Linked DNA regions of Kluyveromyces lactis. The main gene of each other region encodes a partner of the protein of the gene in region 2 in a complex. Links are inferred from orthologs where the notes say so. Each region holds a gene or a part of one and is shown on either strand. Other genes may lie near its edges.

Region 1 (3,147 bases), on a different chromosome or scaffold from region 2:
ATGGAAACAATGACAATGGATCCATGGGGTTTGGAACTGTTCGCCGTGTTCTTGAACCATCTGTTCGTATGTGAACCCGTACCTTGAATATAATCCGACGAATTCATCAAGGAATTGAAGAGCACTGTCAGGTAAGTTCATCACGTAGTGATCGAAGAACTGGTTTTTGATTGGGATCTTGGTTTCAGGAGTACGTTTAGTTTCTCCCGTGACTTTATCCTTGTACTTCTTACCTCCTGGCACCGTGATGACTCCCTGTACCCTTTCGATGAATTGTTGTAGTAGCTTGGGACTATCTCTGATGAATTCGCGGCCATCGAGGTTCAATGGTTCAACGAAGTTACCCACCTTATTGTCGATGATATTTTGCTGCATGTACTTGTAAGATTCTGGGTTCAAATCGTTACTTAGAACGATGACCTTCTTCTTTCCTGCTGGAACTGAGAATGGCCCCACCCCAGCAAACACATCACCAACTATTTGGCCCGGTTTGAATAGACTCACTAACCTTGCATGTTCTGTATGTAGTCTTGAGTTCCAGTACACTTTACTGAAATCGAAAGTGAATGAACAATCAGATTCCCTTTGAGTCACTAGCAGGTTCGGTTCACCCGCTAGGACGTTCATTTCGAAAGTTCTGAATTTGGTAGCAATGGAATCCACTTTATCGACCACGGTCTTGATCGTCGAATTCTTGTCCAAGATGACTTGTCCAATTATTTCACCAAACGGTTTGAACTCTTTCCTTAAATTCAAATGAGCTACGTGTCCCACAATAGTGAACCCAGTAGGAATCTCAGCAAGGTACTCCTCTGGTAAAATTGCATTTAGAATCTCTTCCACTTTCCAGAAGTCATAATCTAGCACATACTCATGGTTTCTCAACTCATACTCTTGCTCATCAAGAAATTCTAGTGCATTGGAGGTCAACTTCCCTCTCGCCTGCGAAACATCTTGTATACTGTCTTTTAGTATGATACCTTTGGTTATATGGTTGTCATTGGCCAGGGATTTGCTTTTCTTCTGTACTGGCTCGACATCGTTCTTATCAGTATCTTCTTTTGGTGTTTCGCCAAGTCTTATAACGAATGGAATTCTTGGTGTCCTTAATATATCGTCCTTGAACTTCTTGGTGAAGACAGAAATATTCTTTGGATTCTTCAATAGCAATACAACAACAGGAAGCTTCTTTACGAATAATGATTTATCTAATTGTTTCATGCCACGATGCACTGGTGGTTCATATTTGAACGTAGTTTCAATAGCTCTACTCATTGTTCTTCGAAGCACTAGGCCAAACCTCATAAAACTAGTCCTCCTCTATCCTTGAAAAATGGAGCAAAATAGTGTGCTATCACTTCACCAAATAAAACGCTGCCTGACGGTCGATCTTTGCTGCAACATTTTTACATCTTTTACAACGCTCATCTCATCTCATCTCATCGCTCTCTTATTTAATTTGGAAAATTTTCAGTTAACTAACACCAAAAGTAACAAAGGTACAGCGAGGAAGTCAGCACATCGAACGCCTTCTGCAGTCCCTGACATCGTTATATCATTACTTGGAACAATGAGTGATGTTATTAGTGTTATCAATAGGAACGAATTTTGGTCTAATGGCCGTTTAGAACAGGATGAATATGAATCAGATTCCAGCTCAGGTTCAGAGCAAGAACATGACATTGAGATGAGCGGTGCTCACGATTCCAATGGTGGAATAGACCATCAGGATGGGTCTATTGTCACACCTGGTGAATTAATAACCGATGATCCTATATGGATGAAGGGTCATGGTACTTATTTCTTGGAAAACAAGACATACAGTTCTGTGGTTGGCACAGTATCGAGAGTGAATAGATTGCTATCCGTTTTACCATTAAAATCTCGTTATATTCCCGAAACAGGTGACCACATCGTGGGTAGAATCACTGATGTTGGTAATAGAAGGTGGAAAGTGGATATTGGAGCCAAACAGTATGCGGTTTTGATGTTGGGTTCTGTTAATTTACCAGGTGGTGTATTGAGACGTAAGTCAGAGACAGATGAGTTGCAAATGAGAAACTTCTTGAAAGAAGGTGATCTACTAAACGCTGAAGTCCAATCGTTGTTCCAAGACGGTTCAGCTTCATTACATACCAGATCGTTGAAATATGGGAAACTAAGGAATGGTACGTTTGTTCAAGTCCCAAGTTCCCTAATAGTGAGATCTAAAAATCATACACATAATCTTCCAGGGAATGTCACCATTATCTTGGGTGTAAATGGGTTCGTATGGATAAGGAAATCCTCCAAGATGGATCTTTCCGGTAAGACCACTACTACAGGTTCAGGACAATCTGACCATTTACCAGGATCCAACAATGCAATGTCGGTTTCCATTACAAGATTGGAAGAAGAGAGTTCTTGGGAAATATATTCGGATAAAAATGATACTGTTACTGTAAGCGTTAGGCAAACAATCACAAGATATGCAAACGTAATTAAGGCGTTAGCACATTGCGAACTCGGTATCACTGAGCCAAGAATAATATCCGCATATGAGGCTTCAATGGCTTATGGTAACTTGGGACAGTTAATTGAATCGGAGACGATGGAGTCCTTAGGTCAAGACGTCATCAACTCAGAGAAGATGAGGGGAGCAGCATAGGTTGTAATCGGTAATATTAATATTTACATGAAGTAGTATTTTATAAATAAAGTGCATAATATTTACAAATAATAAAATCTTTTCGATAAGAGTACCATCATTTGGATGTCTCAGATGTTGGTTTATTATGGGTAGCTTGTAGCGAGTCTTGCTTCTTTCCATCGTTTGTGAAAGATTCAATTCTGCTCTTAACACTAGCACCAAGATACTTTTCAAAGAAGCCAATTTCTTCTTTCTTCTTACCGTCACCTTTACGCTTGGCAACAATACACCATGTCGTACCGAAATGTGTTCTTCTTTCTTCGACGACATCCAATCCAGAATCGTCAAGGATTTCTCCGATATCCAAGTTCCATCTACAACCCCATGTCTTTAAACGTTTCTCAGCTCTATCGTCAAGAATTTTGTTGATTGTATCGTATGAACCTCTTCCGTGTTCCAAGAGAATGATTCTACCGCCAGGTTTCAACAATTCAGCAAAATTCTTCAAAGATTTTACA
Region 2 (4,118 bases):
TAATAGGATAGATAAGCTCTTGGAGTCGTACCCGTTTAATTTTTCTGCTCTTTATGTTTGATCAAAGCAGTTCATTGCAGTATGCATTAAAAATTCAATCTCATTATATATACTACTTAGGGCTAAATCTCTTTTAAATGCCATGAGATACCCTTATTTATACACTCTTATAATTCCGCGTAGTAAACAAAATTTGAATATCAACATTCCTTTTTGTCAGTTCCAACATTTTCGAGAACTGTTGGCTAATCTGATGCACTGCACATGACTATAGATGAAGAAATTAGGATAGACTGACTACTGTGAAAAGACTCCTTGCAACTGGAGGATCTTATGGGCAGTCTCAGAAAAGCTCAAGTTATCCAATCTGTGTCTCAATGCCTAGGCAGAAGTAGCTATTTCTAAGGAAAAAAACTATTACGCAAACGAATTAGTGAGCGAAATTAACCTGTAAATATGACTAGTTCGATATTTATACCATTAGAGCTGCTCAAGATGCTCTATCTTTTGAATGAGACGTTCTTACCCTTGGCAGGTTTTGATTTTTTCTTGATAGGCTGTGGACCGACATGTTCAACAGAGTAAGGATCGAATCTTCTTTTTTTATGCTTCTGTGAGTTTGTATTATTCTTTGTTGAGTTCAATAGGTCGGAGCCAGCAGCATAATCCATAATCTCATGACTTGCAGGTGGACTGATAGTCTTTCGTTTGTTGTTAGATTGAGATTGTCTTTTGCGCAACGTAATTACTTCATCCTTGTTCTCTTCAATCTCTTCCTGAGAAGGATCAGACGTGATGACTTCATTTCTGTTTTCATCGTTAGATACTTGCGTAGGAGCTTCATCCTCATTTGACGGTAGCACAATACTCTGAGCTTGTCGGTCAGTGTATTCTTGTTCTAACGTCCTTGTTATTTCATGCTGACGCTTTAATAATTCATGTTGTGGAATGAGCGTTCTCGTCTTTGGTGTATATCTGACGGCAGTATTCACATCCAAGTTTGAAATACCATTGAATAGGACAGATTTCTCTGAATTTTGTTCGTTATTCAGCTTTTGAGAGTTTATTTCCGAAGCAAGTGAATGAAATATATTCTGAATGGATTTAATTTGGGACGTTGTTATTATATTGGCCAGATCGGTGCCGTTACTTTCGGCCGATTCCAAAAGTGGGATCGCAGAAGAGTTGGAATTTCCTTTGAGATCCTCTAAAGTTCTTTTGATCAAGTTTGCAATGACCTTCGAATTTGTTCTTAAATGCTCTGAAACGTATGAGCTGACAGACAATACGTTAATGGGTTCGGTTGGTGCACCAGCCACCAACGATACAAGTAGTTGGTTTGGCATCACGTAACGAGGAGATTCATCATCCCTCCTGGCGATTGTATCTCTCCATTCATAAAGTCTACGGAGAAGTAATTCCTTTGAAGCCGGAATATTGTACTGAAACATAATATTCTTCCAAGGTTCATCCTTTTCAATAGGTGAAAACACTGCTGAAGACGGAACCTTTGGTCTGAAACTACTATATTCAAATCTTCTTTTAGCCACTTTTCTCGATTCATGCAAAACATCGGACATCTTATTCTGTTCCAGTAGAGAGTTCCTTAATTTATCGAAAATATTTAGGAGAAAATGCGTATCAGCTCTTGCATATGCAAGCATAGGCTTGGTCAACGGTCTGATTCTCCAGTCTGCCAGTTGATATTTTTTTGAAGTCTTGAAATTAGCAAATCTTTCGAGAAGATAGGCCAGACTGTGTTTTGGAAAACCTAACATCCTGGAGGCATGATAAGTATCAAAAAGGCCAACAATATATAAGCCTAAATCACGTTGAAGCCATATGATATCCATGAATGCACCGTGCAGAACTTTAGTAACATTAGGGTCGGTAAAGATATCATTCAATATGTAAAGTTCCTCTCTCAATGCAATAGTATCTACAATCCAATCATGCTCCCGGTCACTAATTTGCATCAAACAAACTATACCATAGTAAGACCTATAATCATGATGTTCTAAATCGATTGCTAATTCTGTGGCTTTACTTAATTCATCTTTCATTTTGTTAAGGCCTTCAACGGTGTCAACCCAAATTGCTTCAGTTTCATCCCAGTCCTTTGATGGGATCGGTTCTGTTGCAACAAGAATGGAGTCATTGTATTTTTGGTGGTCGATCTCATATTCGTATGGATGTGGGTAATGGGACGGGATGGATTCCTCTTCTGGGACCATCTTCAATGAAATTTCGAACGGTTGTAAACTATGGGGTTTGTATTCCAATAATGGCTTGAAAGGATGAAGTTCTGTGTTATCTACAGGAGTTTTAAAACTTAGTTGAGGTTTTTCAATCCTCTTGGATGGTTTATTGTTCGAACGATCATCATCATTTAGATACTTAAGTGATGGACCTCCAGCGTTTCCACCATTTCCGGCTCTAATGTTGTCAAGTGCATGATCAGACTTTTCAAATAAATTATCCATAATATTACTTATGGATTTCCAAGAATCCACAAAACTGTCTTTCCCTTGCTGAATTACATCATTATTGGGATCAATAGACAAAAGCAAGTCGTTGATTAACGATAAAATGTTCGTAGAAGTGTCTTCTAATGATGCATTAATGTTGGAATCTAAACTTTTGTAGAAATCGATATCCTGTGCAGCCAATGCACTCGATGATCTCACAGTTTGAACCAAACTGGAAAGTAACGTATCCTTATCCTCTGAAGACATGGTGGATTAGAGTCAGCTGGTAGTCTACGGGGGATTCAAAACGGGGCGAATCGTACTGCCCTCCAATATATTACTGTCTTTGACTACCAGATGAGATGAGATGAAGAAATATTCACTAATCAAAAGAAATCAGAAGAATTCAAATCCGGGTAAAATTTAGATGTTCTCTGCTACTGATGAAAATGATTCATTCAAAGAGTCGGTAGTATTACAGAGAGAGTCAGACCACGTATCACCACCGCCGCCATTGCCTTTCAACGGCTACGTTATAAGTTAATTGGCTACTAGAGAACTAACTATATAATCTTGCATAACTTCTGCTTCCTCTACGATGTACGGATTTTTTTTCAACTAATGTTGCAGCATCTCTCATCTCAATATTATAAAATGACGCTAGAAGCAGACAGCATCAGCTGCTCCATTTTATGGCAACCAATTAAGTATAGCTATATAGGGCGGCTAACCTGTAAGAGTAAAGATGGCACAATTGAAGGAAAGTAATGCAAAATCCTGAAACATTTAAGTAGTGAAACTATACTTTAATACTACATGCTTTTTCATTGTAATCTTGGGTAGTGATTCAATAACTTAAAAGTGGGTCAATTAATGTCTAATTTCCGTCTAGACATTATGAAGTGAATATTGATGAGTATTGCTGCGATGAAAAGAACATCAACAAAAATGGGAAACCATTTCAGTATCGTAAAAGACTCATAACACATTTTGCCAACCATCTTCACAAATTCAGCGAAAGATAAATTGAATCCGAAGTTGATTCCATCCTGGCAATGAAATAAATTAAAGGAAGGTCAACTATTGAAATGACTTGAAAGCTTTTTGCCGTTGCGTAGCAAAGTGCTCTTTCTATCCATATTGGTCGGATCATCCTCCTTCATATTTCTCTTTTGTGGAATGGTGATCGGAGGAGAATCACTATTCTCATTAACAGAAGTTTCTCGGGAACGAGTTTTCCGGTGTTCACTCAGATTAAAGCTATCGCCCTCGGTTATAGATGGTGAAACGATCCTGCCCGTAGTGGATATAATGTTTGTGTTTAATCTACCATTTCCTTTATCTTTAAGATTGTTCTTGATTGTTGTACTAGGCGGTACCAAGGTGCCACCAATGCCAGGATTCATTGGATCGACCATTTTGAAGAAGTATGTGGAAGTTTTATCCGGTGAGTTCAATGGATTTCCAACGAGTTGAACAATCTTCCTGTAATAATTCTGTAAAACATTGAAACCATTGTCGGGACCTCTCTGTGAAGCGTTTTTCATGGGTATCAGCATATTGGAGCCCAATTTTTGTTCAATCTTACAATTTTCGATATTATCATCTCTTGGGATAATTCTGTATCTGACTCGTTCCAAAAACTCATTC
Region 3 (2,422 bases), on a different chromosome or scaffold from region 2:
TCTTCAGCAAACTCTACGTCGCCACTCAGACCGCCAGAACCCCCTGTATTAGCACCAGCACCAGCACCGGCATTATTATTACCAGAATTGCTGTTCAACTGTCTCTCACCACCATGTTCAAAGAATAACGAGATGGCTGTTTCCAAATTGCCTCCGGCCATCTCAAGGAAATGTCTTGACAATTCATCGTTATCTGTACCGCAAACACCTTGGAAAGTTGAAATATCCTCGTCAGATATCATGGCTATTGAAATGTACTTCTTTTAATCCTTTTACTGGTCTCTGTAACTCTCTGTTGCCACTTGAAACCTGTATCTTTGGTTAATTCTTGTTCACGTTTGCCAACTGGAATTTCCTTCTTTTTGTTTCCCAATTTTAGTGTATTTATACTATACAACTTGTTATGTCAGTGAAAAATGCGATGCTAATTATTAATATAGAATGCCAGAATAAGACCCAGGAATACATGGATGAACATGCCAGGACATATTTCAGATGAATTATTTCTTCGATACTTTACCAGATTGTTTTTGCTGTTTTGATTTCTTTGTTCCGTCTACTACTCGATTTGCCAGTCCATCCTTATCAGTGCTGGTGGTGGAAGCCTCTGTCGAAAACTTAGTATGTTTCCCCTGAAAGTTGACTTTACTGATAGCAGGTTCCATTTTGCCACCTCCCAACGCAGATTGTAGAACTCTTTTTGCTTGTTCTTCTTGCTCCACCTCATCCTTCTCTTCAGATTCTTTCTTAGCTTCTAACTGTTTAGATTTATCCATATATGACTTACACCTTGCCAATTCGGCCATGATAGGTGACAGGTCTTTGATATTGAGGACTTTCATGTATGAAAAGCATAGTGAACTCAATACATATGCGTATTTGTTTGAAAGATCAAGTTTCTTCTTTTCATCTTGCAGAAGCAACAGTTGTTCGTCCAATGACTTGCTCGTTAGTTTGTTAATCTCACCACTGAGTTGTTCCACCTGTTTATTGAGATACGAGATGTATGGTTTAATTTTCTTAGTATCTTCCATGCTGGTAGTTGTATGTGGTCCGTGTTCTTGTCGTTGTCGACTGAGGCAGCGATGAGATGAGATGAGATGAGATGAGATGAAGCTGTATAATACCGAGATGAAGTATTCTTCACTGAATCAAAATTTTCGATCAATAACATAATACTGCGAATTTTTCGCAATGGAACAAAACGCATAATAATCTGCGTGCGTTTCGCACGTAGAAGTACTTCAGTAATATTTCTATTTCTTTATCCAGCGAAAATTCCATATTTGCCTGCCAAAAAAAAAAAAAAAAACGCAAGACATTACACACATTCATACCACATATATGGAGAACCTGTACTCAATACAGGGCGAGTAGTCCTATTTGGACTGTTGAAGTAACATCCACCCTCCGCCAGTATACTTAATTTCAACACTGGCCTAGCTCAAGAAGTACTTTAGTTTGTTTCTCGTCAGCATAGATAATGGTCGCTGATGACTTATCGAATATAGAGACACAGCTACGACAGGTTCGTGAGAAATATCGTGAGCAAGCACACTCGCTCTCGCCAAGCGATGCAGAATCATGGTCAACCTTGGCATCAAATTTGCAGAAAGTCGTCACAGAAATGGATCAGCTTTTGCAGCGGAACTCTAAACAGATGAACGTATCCTTCCTATTGAACCACGAGTCATCATCGCTTCAGGCTGGAATACAGCCACCGCAACCGCTTCTACAGAACCTATACCAAAAGAACGGGAACGACGAACAGCAGAACCATCTCAAAGTCAAACTCGATAGAACTGCGTTCTATTCGGAAAATTCCCCCTTCCAACATCAAATGGATCGGTCTGGTTCATTCAGACTCTGTCCACCTTTAGCACATACAAGTGCAGAAGATTACTTCCGCAACGATACGCAAACCCCAATTATGATCTCAGATGGCCAGATCCTGGAGAACTTGGCCAATCTTAAACGTCTCACTGAGATGCAACGCCAATAGGTGGATGTAATCTTCGTTTTCGTTTGAGATTCGACACATCACATATATGATCCATCTTTTATTTGAGTCATGCGAACGTTTTTGACCAATTATACACATATACACATATAATATGTATAGTAAAAGATAAAGCTGTAATGATACACTATAAAATATCTGTTGGCACCAGTTGCAGAACCATAGAGGTTCAATACCCAACGCAATTCTATCTCTTTGGTATATGTTTTCTCTTAAATCTGTCGAATTTGTCGCTCTTTGAGGGGGAAACAAAATTCGAAAAACATTAAAATAACTAACTAGCAAGTAAACATCAACATCAATAAAGTATCAAGACAAACAACGACACTAGGAAAGCTCTACACGCAATCTGACAACGGCTGTAGTGGAAAATCAATAGAAGAATTACATTGCTCTAAGTTA
Region 4 (2,398 bases), about 1.2 Mb from region 2:
ATTCTATCGTCTCTTTGATTAAGGCAATCGATGAAGTTTCCGTTGTGAAATCTGCTGCTGATATCCCACAAGGTTGTGTGCTACAATCTGTCAACCCAGAAGTTAACGTGCATGTGCTTGTGAAGGGTCACGTCGATATCGATGCAGAAATCTCCAAGGTCCAAAAGAAGCTAGACAAGACTTTGAAGTCTAAATCTGCCATTGATAAGATTGTCAACAGCAGCGATTATGAACAAAAGGCCAATGACCAAGTGAAGCAATTCAACAAAGAAAGATCAGAGCACGCTGCCGCTGAAATCGAAACCTTGGAAGCTACCATCGCTAACTTGGAAGCATTGAAGTTGTAGAATTGTTTTGTTATTTGTCCAATAGATTAGATTACTCTCTCTGCCGCTGCTAATGCGAATTATATAAATGCAAATATATATAAATTGTATATAAAGATGATAACGTTAATTATAAAGTTAATTTATAAAGAACCATGGGTGCAGGTATACCCACTACTGTCTCCAGACGAAATCTTTGGCGACTTTATCCTTGATCACTGATCTCAACTCTGTGTATAACCGTATACACTCTTTCTCACCTGTTTCTAACACTTTAAACAACTGTGACTCGTCAAAGCTGCCTAAACTATCAAGAAGAAGCAGGTTCCTGACATCTATATCCCCGTTCTCATTCGTGCCCAGCTCTAGACAGTATACGTGGACCGATTCACATTTAGCTAGCTGCGATTCTGTTGGGTTCACCACCAGCTGCTTCCCTTCAGTGGTAATACCAATACAAGTACCAGAACACATACTGAGTAACGGTACACCAGCATCCACCAATGCGAGCACCGCTGCGTTAACACATACACTGACTTCTTTCACAGTATAATCCCTGCTTTCTCCCGCTTCTAATACTTGGAGACATATCTGCACAAATTGACGTGGATGCAAGTATCTCGCAAGCACTGGGGTCAACACAGAACGGATCTGATCTTCCATTAACTTTTCCCTCGTACTCTGTACGCCTTCAGCAGGCTTCACGATGATCTCTAATGCAAGTTGTGTGGGCAACTCTTGCCTAGACTTAGGTTCCATGGGTCCCGAAACAGAACAGATAACTTTAGTTCCGCTGTTTGAAACAACAGAAGAGCCATCAACATGGCCCAAAACATGCGTCGTAGTCTCCATCTTGGCTAGAAAATTACTATAGGTACAATATAACAATCAATACGCAGTCGGTATAGACGGTAATGAGCCACTACAGTCCCTCTTTCCCCATCTTTTGAATGTTATGTCAGGATGAGATGAGATGAGCTTCAAATTCAGAAATTTTTCACTTTTAGGATACGCAATGAATAGATATGAAACTAAGAGGTTGGAGATGCAATGCAATTGATGTGCCAGAGACCCTTTTAGCAGGGCATGTATGTGGTAATTTATAAATAAGGAGATTGTGTGTAGGTCTGGCTTCATTTAAGTTCTGAGAAGGGAGCGAGAGACCAGCATTCAGTGAATCTTCAATCCATCAAGAGAGAGGGATTTATTTAATGACGAAGAGAGAATGAACACTGGCATAAGGAAAGACCATCTCAGGAAAGGTGAAACGGTATCATGGTACAATTCAGTGATTGCTGGTTCTGTTTCTGGGGTATTTGCTAGGATGGCAACTGCACCAATGGATACTGTAAAAATACGATATCAGTTACAACCGGTACAAGAGGACAAATATAAGGGAATTGCATCTACTGTGAGAACTATAATGAAAGAAGAAGGACTTCGAGCGTTATGGAAAGGAAACATCCCGGCGACGGCGATGTACGTTGTTTACGGTGCAGTACAATTCGGATCTTACTCGTGGTTCAACAACGTTTGGTCTGCGAAGTTCCCTCGGTTTTCACAGCAGGGACAAACGCTAACGGTCGGAGCGTTGGCAGGAATGACTAGTTCAGTGGTATCTTACCCGCTAGATTTGCTTCGGACAAGACTTATAGCAAACAGAACGAGCCATCGGACCAGTGTCGCAGAGGAGTGCCGACAAATGTGGCTCAATGAAGGTGTACGAGGTTTTTTCACTGGAATATCCACTGCGATGACAACGGTTACTTTATCCACGGCTATCATGTTTCTCACATATGAGACCGTGAATATAGTCTGTGAAAACCACGAGAAAGAATTCTGGTCGCGACCTGTAAGTGCTAGTTCAGGGATCATCGCAGGGTTTGTATCCAAGACGATGGTGTTCCCCATTGACACTTTACGTCGCAGAATGCAAGTGATGAACTCTAAGAGAACAGTTCATTTCACCAAATTCCCTGCTGTTTACCACGAGTACAGGTATAAATCATCCACTGCAATTATTTACAAGATACTAAGACAGGAGGGTGTATCAGCGTTGTACCGAGGACTTA
Region 5 (2,589 bases), about 700 kb from region 2:
TGAATCAAAATTAAAAGAAGCATTCAGTTCTGAAGGAGATGAAATTCCATCAGTGGTTCACCAGTCAACTGTCCCGAATCTAGACTTGGTCAAGCTTTTAAGCAGTAATGAGCTTCACTCCCAAAAACTAAAAAAATTAAACAATTACAAGGAACAATTAAAAGAATATGACTCCGGACTCCAGAGCTGGATCCAATATGCTTTGAAGTCTTCTACCACATCTGATAAGGATTTTATCTTCAAAGACTACAAAGTCAATAAACATGTTCAAGATGCTTATGCTCAAGCGGATATTTTGAGTAAAAAGAACAGCGTCGCAAATACGGTGAACCAAAATGTTACACATTTGAAGAAGAAGATGTTTTCTAGCAGCATGAGAGAAAAATCTAAGGGGTTATTCTCATCTATAGGTAAAAAATTGTAGTTAAAGGCAAGATCCGAATTGTAGAATGCATTTATGTTTACATGTTATGTGAAGTTTATAATTAATGGTTTAAAAATCAATTCGAAGAGTTTTCAACTCTTGTTTTTCCATGCTTTCTAAGCTCCTTATCCATTAAATCTCTAATTCTGTGAGTGCCTGCTATTCCGATGGCCATGACACTCTCAAGTCTATCCAAAGGCACTTTATCTTCCACCATTAATAAAGATAATTTTTCTGATTTACCAATTGTGCCTATGGTAACACTGCTCATTGCATTTTCCTCAAGCGAGTTAAGGTCTAGTAGTGGTGTAGTATCATAAAGTCCCACTGAAACCCCGCTTACAAAATCATACATTGCGATACCAGCATCTATCAGAGCCAATGTTATTCCATTAAGCATTGCCCCAAGAATCCCACCATCTAACTGTAGAGCATGAACTTGAACGTCAATTGACGTACGAGGATAGAGATGAAGCATCAAGTTCTTTTCAAATGTACGCACTAACGAAGCTTGCCATTCTAAGGTTCTTCTTTCATTCTTATGGCTTGATTTGCTTCTTTCCATCTTGGCAAACTTCGTTAAGTTAATAGTAACGGATAAAGTAGCTTGTTTCGTATTGACTTGTGACCTCGAGGATGGTTCTTGAGGACCAGCAACTAATGTGATAATCTTATTGTTACCTTGTTCCAAGTACGAGGATCCATCTGCAGCATTCGGGTGAGTGTTGATGGAACAGTTGAAACTTCTTAGCTCATTCCAACGACGACCATCGACACGCAATCCCTCTGGAGAATATATTTCAAAACGTGACATTATGTTACTCTGTTAGTTAAAGTGGGTTTTCCTACACGCTAGCTGGAGGGGCTAATTTCAATCTGACAGCCTCTGCTTTGAATGTACTTCTTCTAGTAGATGTCGATGAGCTCATATTTCACTTGTAAGATTCAAAACTTGAATACTTTTTTTTTTTCAAATTCTATTTCAATAATCAGTATGAAGAAAACAGCAGCGAGTGAATCTGACAACGGATATGAAATTGGATGAACGGAATGGAACATCAAAATACTCGTCAGGACTTCGATCGTGGCTTTGAAAATGTCACAGTACGCTACAGTATATGCTAAGTTAAAATTATATATTCTTCTTATGTTGATTGTCTTGGAATGACGTTCTGGATTTGATGTCAGTGATAAAGACACCGAGTAGATAGACGTTGATGAGGAAAAACACTATATTGCCAAAGAATAAGTTGGGGAAAAATACATTTTGGCCTTTGAATTCAAGTAGATATGCTTGTGAAAGCCATACGGCTTGAGACAATATCCATAAAAATATACAGACCACACCTTTTCTCCATGTAATGGTTGTATTTGCGAAATAAAATGGGGATAATACCAAATACCAAATGAAATATTGAGAAGTGCATACTTTATTGAAAGTAACGAATGCGTATGTTTGTACGAATAGGACATTCATTAAATTTTCGAACGTCTGTGATTTCCACAATAGATAAGGTAGTACTGCACATAGTGTCAATTGAGGAACGAATGCCAGCTTAGATAGTTCGATAGATTGGGAAAGATGAATACCAGCAGATTCTAAGAGTAAGACCAGGTTCCAAATCGAAAAATTGTGTCTGTGGTCTGTTCTCGTGAGATGGTACATGTACGAGTGTTCGATAAATTCGCTCCCGTAAAGCTTGTACATGAAATACGTCGGCGCAGTTATGCCGATTAGCGTCGATATCCCTATCATGAACAATCGCCAAATGCAGTTTCTATTGTGACTCGACAACAAGAGATATATTCCGATCGGTAGCGCATAGATTATCGGATAGATCTTGAAATGAATCGATAACCCATAGAAAAGTCCTGAAATAAGTAACCTGTCTCTTTTCAAAAAGTATAAAGCACATATGATCAAAAAACATAAAACCGATTCAGCGTTTCCTCGAGTACTTATCGTTATAACAATCGGGTTCAATAACCAAATAGAAGCTAGAATTAGCTGTTTTGTCAATTGACATGAACCTTGTAATAGTTTTATGATCATCACACCTGTAATGAGATCAAATAAAACAAAGAAGACTTTCCCCATATGAATCCACTTTAGATAATAATTGGGTAGTAACAAGAAGCTCAATAAAGGTGTGTACCTGTATGTA
Region 6 (2,562 bases), on a different chromosome or scaffold from region 2:
TGAATGATAAATATCATTATACTTCAGATTCGCAAACATTTAAATCCACATTTTTGATCAATGAAGAGAACAGGAAAGATGGACACATACTAGAAGATGGTTCGATACTATATGCCGAAAAATATGACTTAACTTTTAATATATGTGGGTATTATTATAGGAACAACAAAGTTACTAGTGAGGATCTAGCGTTTATTACACCTTGCGTTCCACCCGCACTCGATATGGATACTAACTTTTATACTAGTTCTGATTACCAAGAGAAATTAACGAATAATCACAGTGAAAATTGGGAGAAGATACCTCCAAAATTATGGGAAAGTTGTCTCGGGAAAATATCACATACAGTGGAAGAAGCTGGTGACAAGTATTATCGTATCGAACCTCAAATGATAGTAGAATGGCTACTGAAGAAAGTCATCAAAATCAACAACAACTTCCCTACTTCTCTTAAAATACCAAAATCGCTACCTGAAGATATAGCATCATCTCTGAAATGCATAATGTCGTGTAATCTTCTAGTTTCCTTGATCCCACAACTCGCATACCAGGATCTAATTAGACATGAATCTTCAAATCTTAACATCAAACAATGTTTCGACTCATACGACAAGTACAAGAACGAAACATTACAAACAGAAAGGGAAAGAGAGCTCCTTATCAAAGCTGCTATGTCTACAGCCATTCCAAATGGCACAAAAACCGTAAAGAAACAACCTATTCAAAAGGCTAAAGTTGTGAAACCAAAGGTTGCTAAGGGTAAAGGAAGAATTGACGGATTCTTCAAAACTAACAAAACATAAGTAAGGGCATATAATAATTTCGTAGAAATATCAGTATTGGATAACCTCTATCATTTTGACCTAAAGCTTCACATAACATGCCGTTGTTGAGCTCTAAAATAATTGATCTTCTTCCACTTAATACCTGTCTACAGGGTCTTCCTCCTAGAGAAACTCGCATCAATTTTGTTTTTATTCCTTTTTCATCTTTCTATCATATCAAATGAGACAAAGCTTATGAAAGATTTAGAACTATAACACTTGAAAAGTTAAAGAGTTGCGATGAGCAGCACTGAAAGAGAAAACCATAGCCGAAGAGAGCTTGCATTCGCATATCAAAATAGTTAAATCGATAAGAGGTGATGGCAAAAGATATAGAGATCAGTAATGCTGAATCCAAATTTATCCTGGAAGCGTTAAAGCTTAAACAAAGATTAGATGGACGTTCATATGACCAATTCAGAGATGTGAAGATCGAAATAGGTGAAGCATACGGTGATGTGACTGTTACCATGGGTAACACAAAGGTACACTGTCGTATCAGCTGTGAAATTGCACAACCTTATGAAGATAGACCGTTTGAAGGACTTTTCCATATAAGTACCGAAACTACACCGATGGCAGGTGCTCAGTTTGAGAATGGGAACAATACTGGAGAAGAAGAGGTATTGATCAGTAGGATGATTGAGAAAGCTGTAAGACGATCAGGAGCATTAGATGTAGAAGGTTTATGCATAATAGCTGGCTCCAAATGTTGGTCTCTTAGAGCTGATGTTCACTTTTTAGATTGTGATGGTGGACTAATCGATGCCAGTTGCATTGCTGTAATGGCTGGGTTACTTCATTTTAAGAAGCCCGACGTTACTGTTCTTGGTGAAAGAGTGACGGTACATCCGATTGATGAAAGAGAACCTGTGTCACTAGGTGTTTTGCATGTTCCAATTTGTGTGACGTTTTCATTCTTCAATCCAGACGATACAGAAGAAAATATCAAAGGTGAGGACAATGCAGAAATATCAATCATCGATGCTTCCTTAAAAGAGGAGCTATTGAGAGATGGTGTGCTTACTGTGACGCTTAATAAAAACAGAGAAGTTGTTCAAATCTCCAAAGCAGGTGGTTTGCCGATGGAAGCTTTGTCGTTGATTGATTGTTGTCATAAAGCATACGGAATTGTAGAAAAAATCACTGATCAAATTCATCGTGTTGTGAAACAAGATACCATTGCAAGAAACCAATACGCACACATTTTGAGCTCTGAAAATGCTCGTGAAACTTAAGGAGCATTGTATCGAAGAACTGGAAGCTTTTCTTCAATTATAGATTAATGCTTATGGTTGTACCATATCCCAAGACACTTGGCAGCTAGAAGTCGTTTAATCCATGCCGTTCAGCGCGTTTGATATTGTTCTGTACTATATGTTGTATGTATGAATATACAAATAATGTATCTGTTTGGTGGATATATGAGAGTGTATGCTGTGAATATCTTAGCGATAGTGAATCAAATATAAAGTCTGGTCATGTCTCTTTCTGTTGAGGAAGTCACTGATTCTTCCCGAGCGTTAAACTTTACAATATGTATTAAATTTGGATATCTGTTCAAGTCGTTCTTTTCAAATTCGAATCCGTTTCGTGAATTAAGTTCGGGATACAAATCTCGTTCATCCAACATCATCATGTGTTTGTCAATAGAAATTTGTGTCTCTGGTGCAGAATTCAAGTACCGCTCTTCTGCCGCCAAAATGTTCTTCGAATTAGCCCAGTATGTTACTGTACA
Region 7 (2,673 bases), on a different chromosome or scaffold from region 2:
AGCTTCATTAGTGGATAAAGCACCCAATCTCGGAGGTATTTGTAGACTCTGTGACGTGTTGGGTGTCGGTACTATGACAATTCATGATATTAGAGTCAAACAGCATCCTCAATTCAAAAATGTTGCGGTTACAGCGGACCGCTGGATGCCTATTGAAGAAGTTCCTGTCGATGGTATAATATCTTACATGAATGCAAAGAAGTTGGAAGGATATACGTTAATTGGATTGGAGCAGACTGATTCTTCCATTCAACTGAATTCTGAATTTAAATTTCCATCAAAATCTGTCATTTTACTAGGAACAGAAGCTCATGGTATTCCAGGGCATTTGTTAAAGGAGTTGGATTTATGCTTAGAAATCAAACAATCTGGGGTAATAAGATCCATGAATATCCAAACTGCAACAGCTGTTATCGTTCATTCGTACTCGATCCAGCATTTATAGATATGCATTTATAATAAACACCCTGAAAAGTACCTATTTACTATTTAAATGTTCCTTAATCTGAAGCATCCAAAGCTTTTTCAATATGTGGTGCGTATTGACGAATTAACTTGAACGCTTGTTCTAAATGATGCTGACTGAACCCTTTGATATTATCGTTATTCAAGCCAACAGATCTTATCGGAGAAGTAACCTTATCTTTGTACCACGTAATTAGAAGGCCATTGTTCGATACTATGCTCTCTTCAAAAGTTGGATCCACAAAAACACCGTCTCCTACAATTGCGAACGTAAACAATAAAGGAGCATCTGCCTCTAGCTTAACCATATCGTAATCATGGAATGTGGGTAGCTCCTCCACTTCTAAGTCATCGTCGTTCGATATTAGTTTCGGTAGCCATGTGTTTTTCAAAGCGCTGAAAATGGCGAAAGATATCATTGAGATCGGGTATGATTTGGAGGCAAGCACCAAAACGTCAATGTAAAGTTTGAAACTGTACCTTTTCGTGAGCATTAGCTTTTTCTGATCAATAGTTTGTTTGAGCAATTTGGATAATAGTGAAGACATGCTGGTAACCAATGGAGAGTCATCTCTGTGGCCTTGGATGTCGACATCAGCAACAAGCAATTCTTGTTCTACCGTATGGTCCACGACTTTAGTTTTTACACTCACTATACACTCGCTTCCTCCGCTTAATATCACACGGCTGGATCCATTAGAATTGGGAAGGAAATCAGTAGATACTTCCAATGGTCTAAATTGATGTGGACCTCTTCCATCCGGTCTTAATGGGGGATCTAATGTTAGAGAATCGTATAGGAACGATTTTTCAGTTAACGAAAGTCCCATTATCTTCTTATATTATTTGATTTTTTTTTTAACGAGATGGGTCTGCTTCGTGAGAAGATAACTCGCTTTAAACTCAGATGTTTCTATTGCTGTTGATAGAAGGGAAATAAGCCTTTTCTCATCATCTCATTGCATCTCATCTCAAGCTCATATAAGTCAATACTGAAATTAGTTCAGATTTTTCATTTCTTCTTTTCGCTAATGCACATTAATATTCGGTGTTACCCGGATATAATTGGCCATTAGTGAGATGTTCTGTCAGGTGTCAGTCACGGTTCGAAGTACTAACATACGATGAATGCTGACTGACTGATATTGAAGTTGTACTGATACAGGGTGCTGATGTTTAATATATATACAAATACATCAACTGTTTTATGGACATAATTATTCCTTATCTTTTGATTTTATTTTTGTTCTTGGTCGGTTGCCCTTTGCTAACGATTCTATACAGTAAGATTGGAAATACCAGCAAATGACATACTCCAATGATGCAGAATAATATTGTGACTTTTGCCAGTAGATAAGAGAACGTTGATTCGTTGAGATTTCTATGATCGACATCTAAAGCATGCAATTCCTGGCCAGAATCCGCACTGACCAACGAAAACAGGTCATCTCTACCCTGGGATAACAAATTGAGATCATCATCAGTAATCAAATCCCACTTCTGTTTCTGAATCAGATCATTAGACGTGATGCTAATTGCTACTTGCTTCACACTATCTATGGCATTCCATGAGGAGTCTAATGAAAAGTTGATAAGGCATATTTGGAAATTCTGATGTTCGTATACGCTCACGTAAAGCACAGTTTCCCCATTCTCTAAACCATGTCTTGACTGTACCAAATTTTGGTCTTCGTCATAAATATCCATGTTGACAACCTGTTTTCCCTTTGAACTCGTAGTTGGACCAAACCTATCCACATTAACTTTCCATTTAGTAAATTCTTCAATTTCAATGAGGAATTGTAAATCCTTGGCCTTAATATTCGTATTCATTTCGAAACAAGTTTGATAACTAGACGCGTCACTCGAGCCGTCAACTTCCCATTTTTTATATGGCCACAAATCGAATTCTAATCGATTTGGGTTTATCGGCAGTTTAAGGGTCTCCGAGACAACTGAACATATCAGTAAAAGGACATATATCAACGATATCACCATTTAAACAAAAAGAACAAAAAAATTACTAGCTGGAACGAAATGAACTGGGTATAATAACAAACGAAAAGACCACAATCTAATTACTGAAGCGAAAGCTGTGGATTAGACCCAAAAAAAAAATTTTGTCTGGCCGAATAAGAACACAAAAAGATATTGACAACACGTATGAAGCACTGAGAAACAACCTTAAAGGGAAAAAAAGAATTGTTT

Evidence for each region.
Region 1: RRP6 (region 2) and RRP4 share a complex: the UniProt entries of both Saccharomyces cerevisiae proteins name them as parts of the RNA exosome complex. The link is inferred for Kluyveromyces lactis from reciprocal best matches to the Saccharomyces cerevisiae genes RRP6 and RRP4.
Region 3: the proteins of RRP6 (region 2) and LRP1 are in contact, whole or in part, in a crystal structure (PDB 4WFC), measured with the Saccharomyces cerevisiae proteins. The link is inferred for Kluyveromyces lactis from reciprocal best matches to the Saccharomyces cerevisiae genes RRP6 and LRP1. Residues at the interface, in NP_014643.1 of Saccharomyces cerevisiae: Asp7, Val8, Leu9, Leu10, Arg12, Val13, Ile14, Asn15, Val16, Val17, Ala19, Ala20, Ser21, Ser22, Leu23, Ala24, Gln26, Tyr31, Lys32, Phe38, Asp41, Leu42, Lys43, Lys45, Ala46, Lys48, Leu49, Ala50, Met52, Ala53; in NP_011949.1 of Saccharomyces cerevisiae: Asp3, Ile4, Lys6, Ile7, Tyr10, Val11, Ser13, Phe14, Ser15, Ala17, Leu18, Glu20, Leu21, Lys22, Glu24, Ile25, Glu26, Leu28, Thr29, Lys31, Ser32, Leu33, Asp34, Leu37, Glu43, Arg44, Lys46, Leu47, Ile50, Asn51.
Region 4: RRP6 (region 2) and RRP46 share a complex: the UniProt entries of both Saccharomyces cerevisiae proteins name them as parts of the RNA exosome complex. The link is inferred for Kluyveromyces lactis from reciprocal best matches to the Saccharomyces cerevisiae genes RRP6 and RRP46.
Region 5: RRP6 (region 2) and SKI6 share a complex: the UniProt entries of both Saccharomyces cerevisiae proteins name them as parts of the RNA exosome complex. The link is inferred for Kluyveromyces lactis from reciprocal best matches to the Saccharomyces cerevisiae genes RRP6 and SKI6.
Region 6: RRP6 (region 2) and RRP45 share a complex: the UniProt entries of both Saccharomyces cerevisiae proteins name them as parts of the RNA exosome complex. The link is inferred for Kluyveromyces lactis from reciprocal best matches to the Saccharomyces cerevisiae genes RRP6 and RRP45.
Region 7: RRP6 (region 2) and RRP42 share a complex: the UniProt entries of both Saccharomyces cerevisiae proteins name them as parts of the RNA exosome complex. The link is inferred for Kluyveromyces lactis from reciprocal best matches to the Saccharomyces cerevisiae genes RRP6 and RRP42.

The regions. Positions count from the first base shown.
Region 1 is NC_006041.1:1,129,885-1,133,031, reverse strand, and holds RRP4 (exosome non-catalytic core subunit RRP4), read left to right. Parts: upstream 1-1,333; coding exon 1,334-2,647; downstream 2,648-3,147. Other genes in the region: TRM5 (tRNA (guanine) methyltransferase), read right to left, coding at 1-1,305; OMS1 (putative RNA methyltransferase), read right to left, coding at 2,745-3,147. UniProt on the Saccharomyces cerevisiae protein: Non-catalytic component of the RNA exosome complex which has 3'->5' exoribonuclease activity and participates in a multitude of cellular RNA processing and degradation events.
Region 2 is NC_006040.1:113,330-117,447, reverse strand, and holds RRP6 (exosome nuclease subunit RRP6), read right to left. Parts: upstream 2,736-4,118; coding exon 501-2,735; downstream 1-500. Other genes in the region: PHO80 (Pho80p), read right to left, coding at 3,545-4,118. UniProt on the Saccharomyces cerevisiae protein: Nuclear-specific catalytic component of the RNA exosome complex which has 3'->5' exoribonuclease activity and participates in a multitude of cellular RNA processing and degradation events.
Region 3 is NC_006041.1:1,510,215-1,512,636, reverse strand, and holds LRP1 (Lrp1p), read right to left. Parts: upstream 1,035-2,422; coding exon 501-1,034; downstream 1-500. Other genes in the region: DNA protein crosslink repair co-factor UBX5, read right to left, coding at 1-242; KLLA0_E16985g (uncharacterized protein), read left to right, coding at 1,484-2,002. UniProt on the Saccharomyces cerevisiae protein: Required for exosome-dependent processing of pre-rRNA and small nucleolar RNA (snRNA) precursors. Involved in processing of 35S pre-rRNA at the A0, A1 and A2 sites. Required for activity of RRP6 in 7S pre-rRNA processing.
Region 4 is NC_006040.1:1,266,252-1,268,649, forward strand, and holds RRP46 (exosome non-catalytic core subunit RRP46), read right to left. Parts: upstream 1,179-2,398; coding exon 501-1,178; downstream 1-500. Other genes in the region: VAS1 (valine--tRNA ligase), read left to right, coding at 1-347; thiamine transporter TPC1, read left to right, coding at 1,552-2,398. UniProt on the Saccharomyces cerevisiae protein: Non-catalytic component of the RNA exosome complex which has 3'->5' exoribonuclease activity and participates in a multitude of cellular RNA processing and degradation events.
Region 5 is NC_006040.1:813,273-815,861, forward strand, and holds SKI6 (exosome non-catalytic core subunit SKI6), read right to left. Parts: upstream 1,239-2,589; coding exon 501-1,238; downstream 1-500. Other genes in the region: FYV8 (Fyv8p), read left to right, coding at 1-424; GPI14 (glycosylphosphatidylinositol-alpha 1,4 mannosyltransferase I), read right to left, coding at 1,557-2,589. UniProt on the Saccharomyces cerevisiae protein: Non-catalytic component of the RNA exosome complex which has 3'->5' exoribonuclease activity and participates in a multitude of cellular RNA processing and degradation events.
Region 6 is NC_006039.1:952,913-955,474, forward strand, and holds RRP45 (exosome non-catalytic core subunit RRP45), read left to right. Parts: upstream 1-1,144; coding exon 1,145-2,062; downstream 2,063-2,562. Other genes in the region: RNH202 (Rnh202p), read left to right, coding at 1-803; KLLA0_C11121g (uncharacterized protein), read right to left, coding at 2,287-2,562. UniProt on the Saccharomyces cerevisiae protein: Non-catalytic component of the RNA exosome complex which has 3'->5' exoribonuclease activity and participates in a multitude of cellular RNA processing and degradation events.
Region 7 is NC_006041.1:823,844-826,516, forward strand, and holds RRP42 (exosome non-catalytic core subunit RRP42), read right to left. Parts: upstream 1,296-2,673; coding exon 501-1,295; downstream 1-500. Other genes in the region: TRM3 (tRNA (guanosine(18)-2'-O)-methyltransferase), read left to right, coding at 1-445; RRT6 (Rrt6p), read right to left, coding at 1,690-2,463. UniProt on the Saccharomyces cerevisiae protein: Non-catalytic component of the RNA exosome complex which has 3'->5' exoribonuclease activity and participates in a multitude of cellular RNA processing and degradation events.